2 linked regions of the Rhinolophus ferrumequinum genome follow. The protein of the gene in region 2 purifies or fractionates together with the protein of the main gene of each other region. This does not show direct contact. Links are inferred from orthologs where the notes say so. Each region holds a gene or a part of one and is shown on either strand. Other genes may lie near its edges.

Region 1 (7,935 bases), about 36 Mb from region 2:
GTTTTATTCTTGGTATTACATGATAATGTCACGAGGTGTTATGGAATGAATTGTGTACCCCTCAAAATTCATGGGTTGAAGCCCTAACCCCCACTGTGACTGTATTTGGAGAGAGGGCCTTTAAGGAGGTAATTAGGGTTAAATAAGGTCATAAAAGTGGGACCCTAATGGAACTGGTGTCCTACAAGAAGTAGAAGAGCCCCTAGGAGTGCATATGTACAGGGGAAGGCCAGGTGAGGGTATAGCGAGAAGGCAGCCTGCAAGGCGAGGAGAGAGGTCTCAGAACTAACCAAACCTGCCAACAACATCTTGATTTTGGACTTCTGGTCTCCTGACTGAGAAAAATTCCTGTTGCTTAAATGACCCATTCTGTGGGATTTTGTTACGACAACTCTGGCAGACTAATACATTAAATACGGGGGTGGTTTTTCATCTATTTTCTGGTATACTCTGAGTCCACTCAATCTGAAATTTTTTTTCTTTTTCATTCTAAAAAAACAACTCATACATAAAAAAAAACATTTACTTCCTTTTTGTAGTTTAGTTTTTTAATTGTGGTAAACAACAACATGTAACATAAAATTTACCATCTTAACCTTTTCAGAGTGTACAGTTCAGTAGTGTTAAGCATATTCACGTTGTGCAACCCATTTCAAGAAATGTTTCATCTTGCAAAACTAAAACTCTATACCCGTTAAACAACTCTCTATTTCCTCCTCCCCTCAGCTCCTGGTAACTTTCTGTTTCAATGAATTTGACTACTCTAGATCGCCTCACTGCAATTTCCTTGTTATCACTGACTGACACTCCTGCAGCAGCTGCCCTGCTAGTCTTTCTCCAATCTCTCCTTCTCTTAAGTCCACCCAAGCTGTCCCCTGAGTTATCTTTCTAAAATATAGTTTTGATTATATCACTCCCCTGTCCAGAGCACTTGATGGTTCCCCACTGTTTGTAGGACAGAGTCCAGAGCCTCTGCGTGGTGTGCCTGACCTCGGCCAGTCTTTGCAGCCTTACGGCCACCCCACCCACACACCTACCTTACATCGTCATCATCCTCATCTTGGACTACTTTCTATCCTCCAAAATCAGGCTTTTTCATGCCTCTAAATGGTCAATCATGTCAGTACCTCTATTGGAAGGCTCCAACCACATAAACACACACACACATAACACCCTGCCTGTCTTCATGAGGAGCCTTTACCTTCACGAGTCAGCTCAATTGTCACCTCTTTTGAGGTGCTCTAGAGGCAATACTAAGGTCATTCTGAGGGATCTGGGAGGACCTGCAGGGGAGCTTGGATAAATCCAACACTCAGTTCCTCACCCTGAGGAATGTATATTGATGGCGGTGAATACGACCACGGGGGTGGCTGATCTAGCAATTAGCGCAGATGGTAATTGAATTTGCTGAGAAGCCGTGTTGCTGGTGAAACAATTCAAAGCTTTTACTGTCAACATCCCCTAGAACTTCAGATATGAGTCTTGGGTGTCACGTCCAGAGCAACAAGGGCAGTGAGGGTGTGAGAAGGGGAGGTTTGGGTTAAGTTTCTAAGAAACAAGCAGAGAATTAATGCAGGTAAATTTCTCAGAAGGCCAGGGGTCTCTCAGTCTCAGAGAACTGGATCCCAGAATAAGGCTGACTGAAGGCTTTTATTGATAGGTATACAAATACAAGAAAGTAACATTGTTTCTTACACGGTCTGTGAGACTCATACATCATAGCAGAAAAATGTTTATTCCAATCACCCTTTGTCTATAAACAGCCGAAGCACAAGGTCCCATGATGTCCTACCTAAGGTATGTACCTTTTCAGGGTCAAGTCTCTCATTGTAACAGCTCAGTTGAGATAAGTGGAGAGAACTGATCTTTATTGTCTTCATGATTTCTCTTACAAACAGGTGCAAGGGAAAAGCCAGAGCGGGCAACAGACTTTCCCAGGCAGGGGGAAGGGGAGGCAAGGCCCCTTTCCATATTTCTCTAAGGCAGCTCATTAGGGGTCCCCACTCGGTTCCGCCTGGCTTAGGTTGTATCTCCCATGAGATATCTTACCCGTCTTTGGCTGCAAACCATCTTTTGGGGACCAGACAGAGAGACATAAGGTGTAAACACAAGGATGGAACAGAGTCCCAGAAAGGCACAGTCTCACAGACTCTTCTTTCCTTAAGGAAAGACATGGGGGGACAGTTGGCTAGGTGCTGTGTGACTACACTTGGGAACATATTGAGTTAGGCAAAAAGCTAAAGAAAACCCAAGTTAAGAGCGTCTCAGTTTCTGTGGATGATGACAATATAATTTATCAAATGTTCCACACTTATCTGAGGTTCTTTATGGGGAAATTGATTCAGGAATTTATCCAGGTTCACTTTAGATATTCAATGCCACCTAGGCAACAAGTCTCCTTTCCCAGGACTATGATCAAGAATGGGAATATGGGAAGTAGTTAGAAATGTTGGAGGCCACTTAGGTCAAAAGCATGTTCTGTATTTCATCCCAGTGCTAAGACACGCATGCAACTGGTATTAGCCTTGCCCCTTTCCACTTAGTAGTTCTCAGTCCCCGTTTCTTATTCCATTTTCCCTTTTCTTTCTTTCAGTTATCATATACTGCACATGTAATATGTTCTAAGCATGAGCGGTATTTTAACCTTTTCTCATTCATCTACCTTGTATTAAAACCCCAACAAGACGCTATATCTTGCTAATTTAAACTGAAAAGAGAAATTTAAAAAGAGCAAATAATAAACATCTAATCTCTTCTCTTTTTGAGTTTCTCAGATCCTCTCATGAGCTAGAGTGAGCACTTGGCAGGACCTGTGGGAAATGCCAAAGAACAAGATCTTAGGTTTTGAGGTCAAGTGTGTGACAAGGGGACAAGGTCTGAGCAGCCAATACAAACGGACAAATATTTGCAGAGATTACATCTCTTACAGATCATTGTGGAAAACAAATATCTTTCCCCTATAGGACAGAGAAGTGGGGAGCACGGGATTGAGCAGCTACCAAACCTATCAACGCAGTCTCACTTCTCAATGACTGGACTGTGTAGCAATTTGGGACCCCCTATAAATGGGTGGAAATACAGCAGGGGAAGTCCCAGGTAACCTGAAGATGGAGAAGGCCAGTGGGAACAACTGGGTTGCATTTCCTGTCCCTTAGGCCTTTACCTGAAAAGAGCAGAAGCCTAAAGGTGATGGATGAGGTGTGCCCTGAGTCCTGGGCTCCTTTCAGACTACATCCCTAATGGATGTTTCTGGTTTTCCCCCTTTTCAGCGTACTCTGGTCCAGACATGGGTGTCCTCAGACACATCATGATACCAGCTGAGCTGCTTCTTTGCTACTTCCTGCTGCACACTGTGGATGCCATTTCATATGGAAACCAGACAAATATCCTGATGCACCTTCCTTCATCCTTGGAATCCTGGCCACCTTCCTCAGACCCCTTTTCCTGCCAGATCCTAGTCCCAAAATCCCTGCCTGGCTATACGCACATGGCCCGTCTACCCAAGTTCCTGATAGGCCTGCCACTGATGATTGCACTGAAGGAAGCTGGCTGCCATGCTGATGTACAGGCCCTGCAGCTTCAGCTTTACCGCCTGGGGGGTGTAAATGCCACACAGATCCTCTTCCGACATCTTCAAGAGCTGGAGAAAGGCAGAAGCACAGGGAGGGGAGTGTCAGTGGATGCCCTGGCCTCTGCTTTGCAGCTGTTGGCCAAGGAGCAGCAAGGCCCAGAGAGGGCCCGACGCTCCCTCCCCATCGAGGACTGCAAAAATGAGCAGGAGCAGAGTGTGCACAATATAGTCCAGTGGTTGCCAGGAGTGGGCACCTTCTACAACCTGGGCACAGCTTTGTATTATGCTGCTCAGAACTGCTTGGAAGAGGCCAAGCAACGAGGCCAAGATGGGGCCATAGATATAGGTTATGACCTTCTGATGACCATGGCTGGAATGTCAGGGGGGCCCGTGGGAGTAGTGGTCAGCACTGCCCTTAAACCTGCAGTGAAGGCTGGGGTTCAACAGTTGATCCACTATTACCAGGAGAAAGAAGCAAACATCCCTCCAGAGACCAGCGAGGAAGGCTTGGACAGCACCTCAAATATGAGTGACATGGCAGAAACAACTGCCATTGCCCCTTTGGTGTCAGAAGTAGTAGATTCAACTCCTTATTGGGGGTGGCCCGTCTTCAAGAACTATAACATAGATCCTGGGAATGGGAATTTTGGTATATAAAAGGTGTGAAACACTGAATGAATAAATCAAATATTCTGACAGGCTATATGTGTGTGTTCAGAGTCTAAATATCTGATTTGTTATAGAAGGCAGTGCTGTAAAATGCAGGAATTTTGAAGTTTGGGGTTTGGAGTCAGAGGGTTTGGTTTGAATCCAAGCTCCACTTGTTAAAGCCTCAGTGATCACTGACTAGTAACTTAACTTCTTTCTCCAGGCTCAGTTTTTAAAATTTCTAAAGTGGAGATAATGAGTTTCACCTCAGTGTGGTTTGTGGAAATCATAAACGATGCAATGAACCTAACGTGCTTACTTAGCACAGTACCATCAATAAACAGTTTTTATTTTGGTATTACATCAGCCTTCCCCTTCCTATCCCAAAGTTTCGAAATTCCGGTCCCACCTCTTCTGAAGGAGCCCTAAGTGCTTCCACGGTCCCGATCTAGTCTCGGTTCCGCGGCTGTAGAGCGGGTTCTCGGAAATCAGCTGTTCGAGTCCTGAGCTATTCCATGAATTGGACTCCCCCCTCCGCAGTTAGCGCGCAGGAGGGGCTTACTTGAGCTGTCCCACCAATCGCTGGAGCTGGAGCTGTGGCTTCCGCTCTGCTTGTCCGCCCCGCGGAGAGGCAGGCGTTGTGGCGGCACCAATGAGCTCACAGCCTGAAGAGCCAGTGTAGGGGTGCGGGGCTGGGAAGGGCGACCTCAGAGGTTCAGGAACCCACTGAAGCCCGCGGCAAGGGGGCGGGCCCGAGGGGCGGGACGAAGCCCAGGGCGGGGCGGGAGACGCTGTTGCGGTAGCTCCGTCTGGGGAACCGAAGCCTAGAGCGGAGCCACTGGAGGGATCGAGGACTGAGACCCTAACAACCAGGTACTGGCCCTGAGAGGGCGCGCGGGGGTTGGGGATGGAGGCGCGAGTTCCTCCCTGGGAAGGGTGGCAGACCCCGGGGGCTACGCCCCGTGGTGGTCAACCTGTATCCCCCGGATGAAATAGCGGTCGCCTGCTGCATCCTGGATCAACCCCCCCTCCACTCCAGCCTAGCTCCCCAATCCTAATGCCCTCCTCCCAGAACTCCCTGGACTCGGAACTTGGCATTGTTACATTGATTCAGTGTCTTAGCCATTTACCCTCTAGTCTGTGTAATTGTTGATCTTCATAAACACAAAAATAATCAATGTCTAAGGGTAGGTACAGTTTATTATCTTTATTTGTTATGTTAAAAAGCATAAGACGCAGAAAGGTGAAACTATTTGCTTAAGGTCACATCCAACATGAAGTGTATTTCAGAACAGCTTTTCGAACACAAAATAGTATGTGCCTAAGAGAGTGAGGATAACTGGAGAGGAACGTGTTGAGCCTTAACCTCAAGTGTTTGCAGTCCATTTAAGACCAGATTTGTTTCTTTCGTTGTTTGTTTGTTTTTACATTTAAAACTCAGGGTTTACTTGCTGCCTTACTCTTTTAATACCAGCCCACTAGTTCCTTAAGAACTAGGGCCTCGTCATTTTTTAAAAAAAGCAATACAGGTACATAGTTATAAAAATCAAGCGCTACTCAAAGGGTTAAATTGAAAAATAAGAGCCCCTGCCCAATCCTTTCCTTCCCCTGTTCCTACTTACCAGGGATAGAAAGGCAGGCAGCTCATAATTATTCATACTTTTGGAAAAGAACCTCTCTCATCCCAAACATTTTTCTTTGATTTCTAATAAAATCATGTGACTTTTTTTAGACCACAGATGTACTGTTTATTCTTTTCCGTTAGGCCCAGGCTGCAACAAGAATAAGTTTTCGTTTCCTAAATAGATAGATGGCAGTGGGCGGGGCAAGGTAGGGAGAAGGATTCTCTGCCCAGCCTACTTGGTGACAGGAAAAAACAGTTTTGAGTGAAATTCCTGGGTCTCTTGCAAAGTTGATAATCCATGAGCAGAATCAGAGATCAACAGAGGTTATAACAGTGTCACAACCTTAGGGATTGAGTGACTCCTTGCACAGCATTTAAACATCTCCTAGAATACAGCTTCTCCTTCCTACATGGAGAGCAGTTTATAGGGTGTACCTAAGTCCCCAATAAAGCTTTGGGGCCAGCAAGGATGATGCTGAAATAAATACTTAATGACTCACACTGGCTTTTAAATGCTCCAACATAAACGAATACAAACACAAGCAAATTTATTGGGAGAGATAGATGAAATAAAAATGATAGAAATATCATTAATGTTTGTTGAAGATTAATAATGAGTACATGGATGATTCTTGTACTATTCACTCTACTTTGGTGTATGTTTAGAAATTACAATTAAAACAAAAAGACCCACATATTGGAGCTCTTAAATAGTACACCCTGGACGAATATATACCAAACTAATAATTTTGGTTACTTCTGGAGAGGAGGGGAAGAGACCAGGATTGGGAGTGGGATCAATCTAGACACCCCCTTTTTTTTCTGTATCTTTTCTTACCTGTATAATTTTAAAATGTTCAATTTTAATAATAAACAATCATAAGACTGTGGATGATTTAGTCCAGTCAAATTTCCAATTGGGAACCTGAATCCTTCAGACTCGGAACCCAAATGGCACAATGGGAGAAGCTGCAGAATCTCGACAGCCCATTTCAAGATCTTCTGCACCAGCTCTACACAAATAGCCTCCTGCCAGTGGATATTCGACAGTACTTGGCTGTATGGATTGAAGATCAGAACTGGTGAGGCCCTCAGAAAGTTGGGAGTGTGGTGAGGGAGGTGAGGAAAGTGGTTTCATTCTTCAGAGCCCCCGGATCCTGGAGACACCAAGGGCCTGAAGGGGTTGGGAGGCCTCAAGACAATAGCAACCCTGCAGAGATACTAATCTTGGTCATTCCTGTTCCCCAGGCAGGAAGCTGCAATGGGCAACGATGATTCCAAGGCTAACATGCTATTCTTCCACTTCTTGGATCAACTGAGCTATGAGTGTGGCCGCTGCAGCCAGGACCCTGAGTGCTTGTTGCTACAGCACAACTTGCGAAAATTCTATCGGGACATTCAGGTATTTGGAGGAGCTGGGTATAACAAAGTAGGAATAGGAGCTGAGTGTAGCGGAATACAGTTTAGGGTATGGGATAGGACCTAGAGGTGCAAAGGGACAGGGGCAGATCAGGGGAAAGGGGGACAGAGTTTGGACTTGAAGGATCACTGGCAGAGAGAAGGGCAGTGTTTAGATGGGAAGAGGCTAGAATCTGGGGACCTGTGGTGAAAAGGGGACGAGCTAGGGACCCTGAAAGAGGGGAAAGTACTGGGGTCACTGGTGGGAAGGTTCATTGAAGGCAGGTGAGTTCAATCAATTCTTTCTCTTTTCCTACTGCAGGCCTTTCCCCAGGGCCCCACCCAATTGGCTGCGATGATCTTTAACCTCCTTCTGGAAGAGAAAAGAATTCTGATCCAGGCTCAGAGAGCTCAGTTGGTGAGAACAATTTGGTGGTGATACTGAAAGTTCGTGGAGTAGAGACGGACCATGGAAAGAACTCAGGAAATTTATCTCAGAATAAGATCCCCCATAGCCTGTGGTTTAATTTCAGGCCTGGATTTCAGGGATGCAAGGTCAGAGTTGAATGTACTCAGAGCCTCTTATTTCAGGAGCAAGGCGAGCCAGCTCTTGAAGCACCTGTGGAGAGCCAGCAGCAGCATGAGATTGAATCCCGGATTCTGGAATTAAGGGCTATGATGGAGGTTGGTAGAT
Region 2 (7,055 bases):
GTTTGTCAATTTTGTTAATCTTTTCAAAGAACTAGCTCTTTGTCACATTAATTTTTTTCTATTGTCTTTTTGTTCTCTATTTCATTTAGTTCTGCTCTGATTTTTGTTATTTCCTTTCTTCTGCTGACCTTGGGTTTCACTCGTTCTTCTTTTTCTAGTTCTTTAAGGTGTAACATGGGTTATTTATTTGTGATTTTTCTTGTTTCTTGTGATAGGCCTGTAATGATATAAATTTCCCTCTTAAAACTGCTTTTGCTGCATCCCAAAAATTTGGGTAGGATGTCTTTTCATTGTCATTTGTTTCTATGTATCTTTTGATCTCTCCTCTAATTTCTTCTTTGACACAGTCGTTCTTTAAATGTATGTTGTTTAATCGCCACGTATTTGTGTTTTTTCCTGCTTTCTTTTTGCAATTGATATCCAATTTCAAAGCCTTGTGATCAGAGAATATGCTTGGTATGATTTCAATCTTCTTTTATTTGCTGAGGCTGATTTTATGTCCCAATATATGGTCTATCCTTAAGAATGTTCCATGCACACCAGAAAAGAATGTATAGTCTGATGTTTTAGGATGAAGTGCTCTATATATGTCAATTATGTCCATTTCATCTAATGTGTCATTTAGGGCTGCTATTTGGTTATTTATTTTCTGTTTGGATGATCTATCCATAGCTGTCAGTGATGTATTTAGGTCCCCTAGTATAATTGTGTTTTGGTCAATTTCTCCCTTTAGTTCTGTTAGTAGTTGCTTGGTATATTTTGGTGCTCCCTGATTGGGGGCATAAATATTGATGACTGTTATGTCTTCTTGTTGTATAGTCCCCTTTACCATTATGTACTGTCCATCTTTGTCTCTTGTTATTTTTTTCACCCTGAAGTCTGTTTCATCTGATATCATTATGGCTACACCTGAATTTCTCTGGGTACCATTTGCTTGGAGTGTCAATTTCCACCCTTTCACTTTGAGTCTATGGTTGTCCTTGTAGCTGAGATGCGTCTCTTGGAGACAGCATATGGTTGGGTTTAGTTTTTTGATCCAGTCTGCTACTCTGTGCCTTTTTATTGGTGAGTTCAGTCCATTTACATTTAGGGTGATTATTGATATGTGAGGATTTCCTGTCATTCTATCTTTAGTTTTCTGGTAAGGCTGTGTCTCCATGGTTTCTTTGCTTTTTTGTTGTTGTCTATTATTTCTGTGTGGTGGTATTCTATGATGTTTCCCTCTGTTTCTTCTTTTATTACAGTATATATTTCAGTTTCGGATTTTTTTTCAGTGGTTACCCTTAAGTTTATGTAACAGAAAGTTTGATATTTAGAGTATTCCATTTTCTTCAGCACACTTACTTTCTCCATTGCCATGTTCCAGTTCAGGCCTTTACTCTCCCCCTTTTTATGTTTTGGTTGCCACAAATTGTCCCTGTTGATGGTGGTCGAATAGCCTCCTTTAGTATTTCTTGTAGTGCAGGTTGTGTATTAGAAAATTCCCTCAGCTTCTGTATGTCTGGAAAGGTCTTTATTCCTTTTTCATATCTAAAGGATATCTTTGCTGGATTTATTATTCTTGGCTTATAATTTCTCTCTTTCAATAGTTTGAATATTTGATTGCACTCCCTCCTGGCTTGTAAAGTGTCTGCTGAAACATCTGATGATAGTCTACTGGGCTTTCCTTTGTAGGTTACCGTCTTCTTTTCCCTGGCCACCTTGAGGATTCTTTATTTGTCGTTGATTTTAGACAGCTTCAATACAATGTGCCTTGGAGAAGGCCTGTGAATACAATGTGCCTTGGAGACTGCCTGTGAATCTGTGTCTGCGGTCCACAGTTCTCAGAACAGCAAATGTTCTGTTCTTTTGATCTGACTACTGCTACCGTTCCACTTCTAGCACCGGGTAGGTGGGGGCGGGGTGAGCTCTGGGAGGGTAGGGAGGGGGCGGCTAGTCTCAGTGCCTAAGGCTTCCGGCTGAGATTTTTTAATCGTAAATGTATACTAGATTTTGTCAAATGCCTTTTCTGTATCTACTGATATGATCATGTAATTTTTTATCCTTCATTGTGTTTATGTCGTATATCACGTTAATTGATGTACAGATATCAAATCAACCTTGCATCCTGGGAATAAATCCCGCTTGATCATGGTGTATGATCTTTTTAATGTATTGTTGAATTTGGTTTATTGATATTTTGTTGAGGATTTTTGCGTCTATGTTCATCAGGGATATTGGCCTATAATTTTCTTTTTTTGTAGTGTCTTTGTCTGGTTTTGGAACCAGGATAATGCTGGCTTCATACAATGAGCTTAGGAGCCTTCCCCTCTCTTGAATTTTTTGGAATAGTTTGAGGAGGATAGGTGTTAGTTCTTCTTTGAATGATTGGTAAAATTTACTTTGAAGCCATCTGGTCCAGGACATTTGCTTGTTGGGAGTTTTTTGACTACTGATTTGATTTTGTTTTTGGTTATCAGTCTGTTCAGATTTTCTGTTTTTCTTTACTCATCTTGGAAGATTCTTTTCTTGTAGGATTTTATCCATTTCTTCCAGATTGTCAATTTGATGGCATATAATTGTTTATAGTATTTTCTTATAATCTTTTGCATTTTTATGTGGTCAGTTGTCACTTCTTTCATTTCAGATTTTATTTATTTGCATGCTCTCTCTTTTTTTTCTTCATAAGTCTGGTTAAAGGTTTATCAATTTTGTTTATCTTTTCAAAGAACCAGCTCTTGTTTTCATTGATCTTTTGTATTTTTGTTTAGGCTCTATTTCATTTATTGCCACTCTCATCTTCATTATACCTTTAGTTCTACTCACTTTGGGCTTGTTTGTTGTTTTTTTACTAGTTTCTTTATGTGTTAGGTTAGATTATTTACTTGAAATTTGTCTTGTTTTTTGGAGTAGGGCTGTATTGCTATGAATTTCCTTCTTAGAACTGCTTTGGTTGTACCCCGTCAATTTTGGGTCATTTTCTCAAAGTATTTTGTGATTTCTTCCTTTATCTCATCGTTAACCCATTCATTTTTTTAGCAGAATGATACTTAGCCTCCATGTGTTTGTGTGTTTTTCAGTTTTTTTCTTGTAATTGATTTTTGATTTCATACCATTGTAGTGGGAGAAGATGCTTGATATGATTTCAGTCTTTTTAAATTTATTGAAACTTGTTTTGTAGCTTAATATGTGGTCTATCCTGGAAGGTGTTCCATGTGTGCTTGAAAAGAAAGTATATTCTGCTGCTTTGGAGTGAAGTGCTCTAATAATATTAATTAAATCCATCTAGTCTAATTATCATTTAAGGCCATTGTTTCCTTGTTCATTTTTGGCCTGAATGATCTATTCGTTGATATTAATGGGAGAAGGAGGACATTTCTATTGGTGCGTTTAAGCTAACACAGTGGGGCTAAATTTAAACTATGTTTTTAATTTGTAGTCCAGGTAATCGGCAGTCCGGCAGTCGGTTAGTTGTAATATCTGCTTTCTTGTTTCTTTGCCAATAGTTCTTTGAGATACAATGTTGCTTTAGGCCCAGTCTGAAGGTTATTTTGCCCAGTTTTAACATTCCAAAGTTTTGACGCTTAAAACATGCAAAGCAGTTCCTCTGGGGTTGCAGCACTGACTCCATTTTAAAGTGGCTCCATTTATGTTATTTGTTTCCACCAGGAAGTTAGGGCATGCATAGCAAGGAAAGTTCTTGTGAGCAGCCTTTAGGCAGTAGAATTTAACAGCCTTCAATGGTTGTTTGGGTCTGGGAGCAAGGACACACTAGGCTTCTGGTCTGAACCTATTGGTGAATGCTGTGCCATTTACTAGAACAGAGAACTTGGAGGGAAGAAGATATGGCAGACTACTCTGATAAAATAAAAATGGAGGCATGTGGGACGAAGGAGAGGGGGTGTCTAGCCTAGTTCTCTTTTCTAGCCCCAGAGCTTTTTGAGTCAGTCTCTCCAAGCATTCATCTCCCTCACAGACTTGGCTGTTTGGAAGTAGAACTGATCACACGAATACTTGTTCTCCTTCTCTTATGCTTAACTGCCTATGGTGTGTTTTCACAGAAGTCCTACCAAGGCTGTCTCATGAGAGCTCTTCCCGGAAGTGGGATCTGCAGTCCTGAAGACTGGTCAGCCAACTGTCTGGAAATTTTGGAGTGATCCCTAATGGGCAAGTGTTTGGGTTCCTGAGAAAATTTGCTAGTCAGTCCTGACTGAGTCTCAGCCGTTCTCCACAGACCCTGTTGAGAAGAAGGAAGAAAACAGCAACATGAAGAAGAAGAGGAGTCAGCTCCCAGAGCGCCTCGCAGCTTGGGACCGCTCTCAGGGTCGTTACCTCCCTCCCACCTTCTCTCCTTGACTGTGTGGAGACGTTTTGCTCACCCACTATACTCTGAAGCTGTAGAGCTTTGTGGCTAATGACTCCTGATCTTTGTGTCTCCATTTCGTCTCCTTTAAATGGGAATAATCATAGTACTGAGCACATAGGATTGTTGGGAAGAATATATGAGATAATCTGTGGGAACTGCTTTAAACCAGTGTTCGGCATATAGTAGCACTCAGCATTAGTTTCTTTTTTTGTTGTTATATCTGTGTGCTAGTATATCTAGAGGCAAGTGGAAATCTGTGATTACCTGCCATACCTGGATTTGCACCTTCTTATTACCCTATCTCTTGTACACCAAAACCTTTTCCCAGGAACCCTAAGATTAGTGTTAATCTTCCCCCTCCTCCACTTAAATAACTCACCTCATGGGGTCTGCAGAGCTAAGTCTGGGTTGGAAAAGGAGAGGTTGGTTGCTAATGGGTCAGAGAGATGCTATCCTTTGGTTTTCTCACCTCGTCATAAGTTCCTTCTGGCTTACAGCCTCTCAAGGCGAGTTTAGATTAGTGGATCTTCCCTAAAGCTTTCGTTTGATTTCTCCAGCCGTATGGTAGGAACTGAGTAGGGACTTTCCACTGCACTGGAGTCTGAAATTCCTTTTACCCCTGAGCCCTTAGTTGCCCATTCTGACTGCAGTCTCTAAGGAACTCGTAATTCTCCCAGTTCCACTTTCTGTAATGTTCCTCTTTTCCTTTGTTCTTAAAACAATTGCTTGTACTATTCATTTAACAATGAGTAACGCAATTTCTTGTGACATCTCTTTGCCTAATGGACTACTAAAACTTGTGTTGCTATTTCACTTTTCAAAGGTTCATGCTTTATGTCTCCTCCTGAATTTGTTGCAAGCTCCTTAGTGAATTCTTTGTACGTCTGAGAGTACTTTACAGGGTTTCATGTCCTTTGTAGAGGCTACAAAAACATGATTTTTGTTAAATCCCTTAGCTCGGCCTTCCCTCAGTGTTTTTTTCTCTTCCTTTATAGGCCCAGTTGGTTTACACAACATTGGACAGACCTGCTGCCTTAACTCCCTAATCCAGGTATTCATTATGAATGTGGGCTTCACCCAGATACTGAAGAGGTAAGACTATCATGCAGGCTAGTAAACATGTATATTACTTTACATTTTTGAATGTTCAGTTAGTCACAGTGACTTGGTTCAGTTAGTCACAGTTCTTTCAAAAGTTGCCAGAGAAAAGTCCTGTCTACACAATCTGGACTACACATTCTAATCATCTAAGAAGTTTTAAAAATTGCCTGGTCCTACACCCAGATATTTGGTTTCAGTTGGTTTAGGGTGCGCTCCAGGCATTGGTATTTTTTAAAAGATGCCCGAAGTGATTGAAAACTGCAGTCAGGATTGACAGCCACTGATTTGATTAAAAGGAAGTTGGGACTAGACCAATGTCAAAGGAGGAGTAAACCAGTGTGTAGGTGCATGAGTCTATTGATTTTTCTCAAACAAAACACACACACCCACACCCACGCACACACTTAAAAATCACTGGTGTGTGTGTGCATGTATGTATTTTATCATACATTCTTTTCTGCCCTGTGCTTTCTGTTTTTTCCCTTCCACTGGCATGGGCAATTGAAAGATGCCTGTAATTAAATAAATCATTGCCAAAAGGCACTGACATCCCTCCCTGTTCCCCTTTGTTCCCAAGACCTGGATGAGTGCTGCTTTTTCATTTTGGAGAGCTTCAGAGTGGGCATGGTGCTGCTTGGCCACTTTGCTGTGGGCCCAGGACCTACTGCATCTGCTCTTCATTTTAGTGTGACTGTCGGGCAGGGTGGGGAGAGAGGCGAGGCAGCGGTTGTGCTGACCCCCTCTCAGCAGGGTTCTCTCTGTAGCTGATTTGCTTATATGGTGTTTCTCCACCTTGTCCGTGCAGTTAAATCATCCAGGAAACTTAAAAATTCTGTCCCACCCTCAGAAATTCTGATTTAGTGTGAAGAGTGGCCTGCACATGGAGATTTTGAAAGTTCCCTCGAGTTGATTCCCGTATGCACTTAACATTGAGAAGAATAAGGAGGTTCGTGGTTGTTCTTATTTGGCAGGATAACAGTGCCAAGGGGAGTAGAAGAGCAGAGGAGAAGTGTCCCCTTCCAGCTGCTCTTGCTGCTGGAGAAGATGCAGGACAGCCGGCAGAAAGCAGTGCGACCCATGGAGCTTGTCTCCTGTCTCCAGAAGTACGATGTACCATGTAAGACAGTCCTCCTAGCGCTGGCTCCTGATCCAGTTCTCTTAAGGAGGTGGGAGGTTGGAAGAGGGGGGAGGAAGGTGAGAGGAGAGGGCCAGGGGAGGGATTAATGTCATGAGTGAACAAGGACGTTAGGTAGACTGTGGACCCCTTATATGAGAAGCATTTATGTAGATCTGAAATATTTTTAAAAGCCTACATTTTTACAGGCACAGAATTGGTATTATTTATGCATATGTTATTTTCACACTCACTGTTTTTCTGTCTCTCAGAATAAGTAAGCCTAAGAGTCCTCAGAGCTAATTCAGCTACAGATAAAGAATTCCAGGAAAACAGAATAAAGGATTAATAAGGAGAAACCATATTCTGCATAAGAAAATTAGTTAGTTTAAAAAAACCTGTTTTATTGAGATCTACATCACATAACCATAAAATTGACCCACTTAAAAATGTACAATTCAGAGGGTTTTAGTATATTCACAGAGTGCAGGTCAG

Evidence for each region.
Region 1: the proteins of USP18 (region 2) and STAT2 purify together in Homo sapiens (affinity purification with western blotting; 6 studies listed by BioGRID and IntAct, with this or other methods). This does not show direct contact. The link is inferred for Rhinolophus ferrumequinum from reciprocal best matches to the Homo sapiens genes USP18 and STAT2.

Annotation. Positions count from the first base shown.
Region 1 is NC_046293.1:55,665,971-55,673,905, reverse strand, and holds the start of STAT2 (signal transducer and activator of transcription 2), read left to right. Parts: upstream 1-4,922; 5' UTR 4,923-5,092; intron 5,093-6,781; 5' UTR 6,782-6,794; coding exon 6,795-6,925; intron 6,926-7,091; coding exon 7,092-7,245; intron 7,246-7,563; coding exon 7,564-7,659; intron 7,660-7,832; coding exon 7,833-7,925; intron 7,926-7,935. Other genes in the region: APOF (apolipoprotein F), read left to right, coding at 3,287-4,228. UniProt on the Homo sapiens protein: Signal transducer and activator of transcription that mediates signaling by type I interferons (IFN-alpha and IFN-beta).
Region 2 is NC_046293.1:91,640,759-91,647,813, forward strand, and holds the start of USP18 (ubl carboxyl-terminal hydrolase 18), read left to right. Parts: upstream 1-4,044; 5' UTR 4,045-4,142; coding exon of another isoform or gene 4,143-4,146; 5' UTR 4,147-4,245; coding exon 4,246-4,303; intron 4,304-5,340; coding exon 5,341-5,437; intron 5,438-6,417; coding exon 6,418-6,563; intron 6,564-7,055. UniProt on the Homo sapiens protein: Interferon-induced ISG15-specific protease that plays a crucial role for maintaining a proper balance of ISG15-conjugated proteins in cells. Regulates protein ISGylation by efficiently cleaving ISG15 conjugates linked via isopeptide bonds.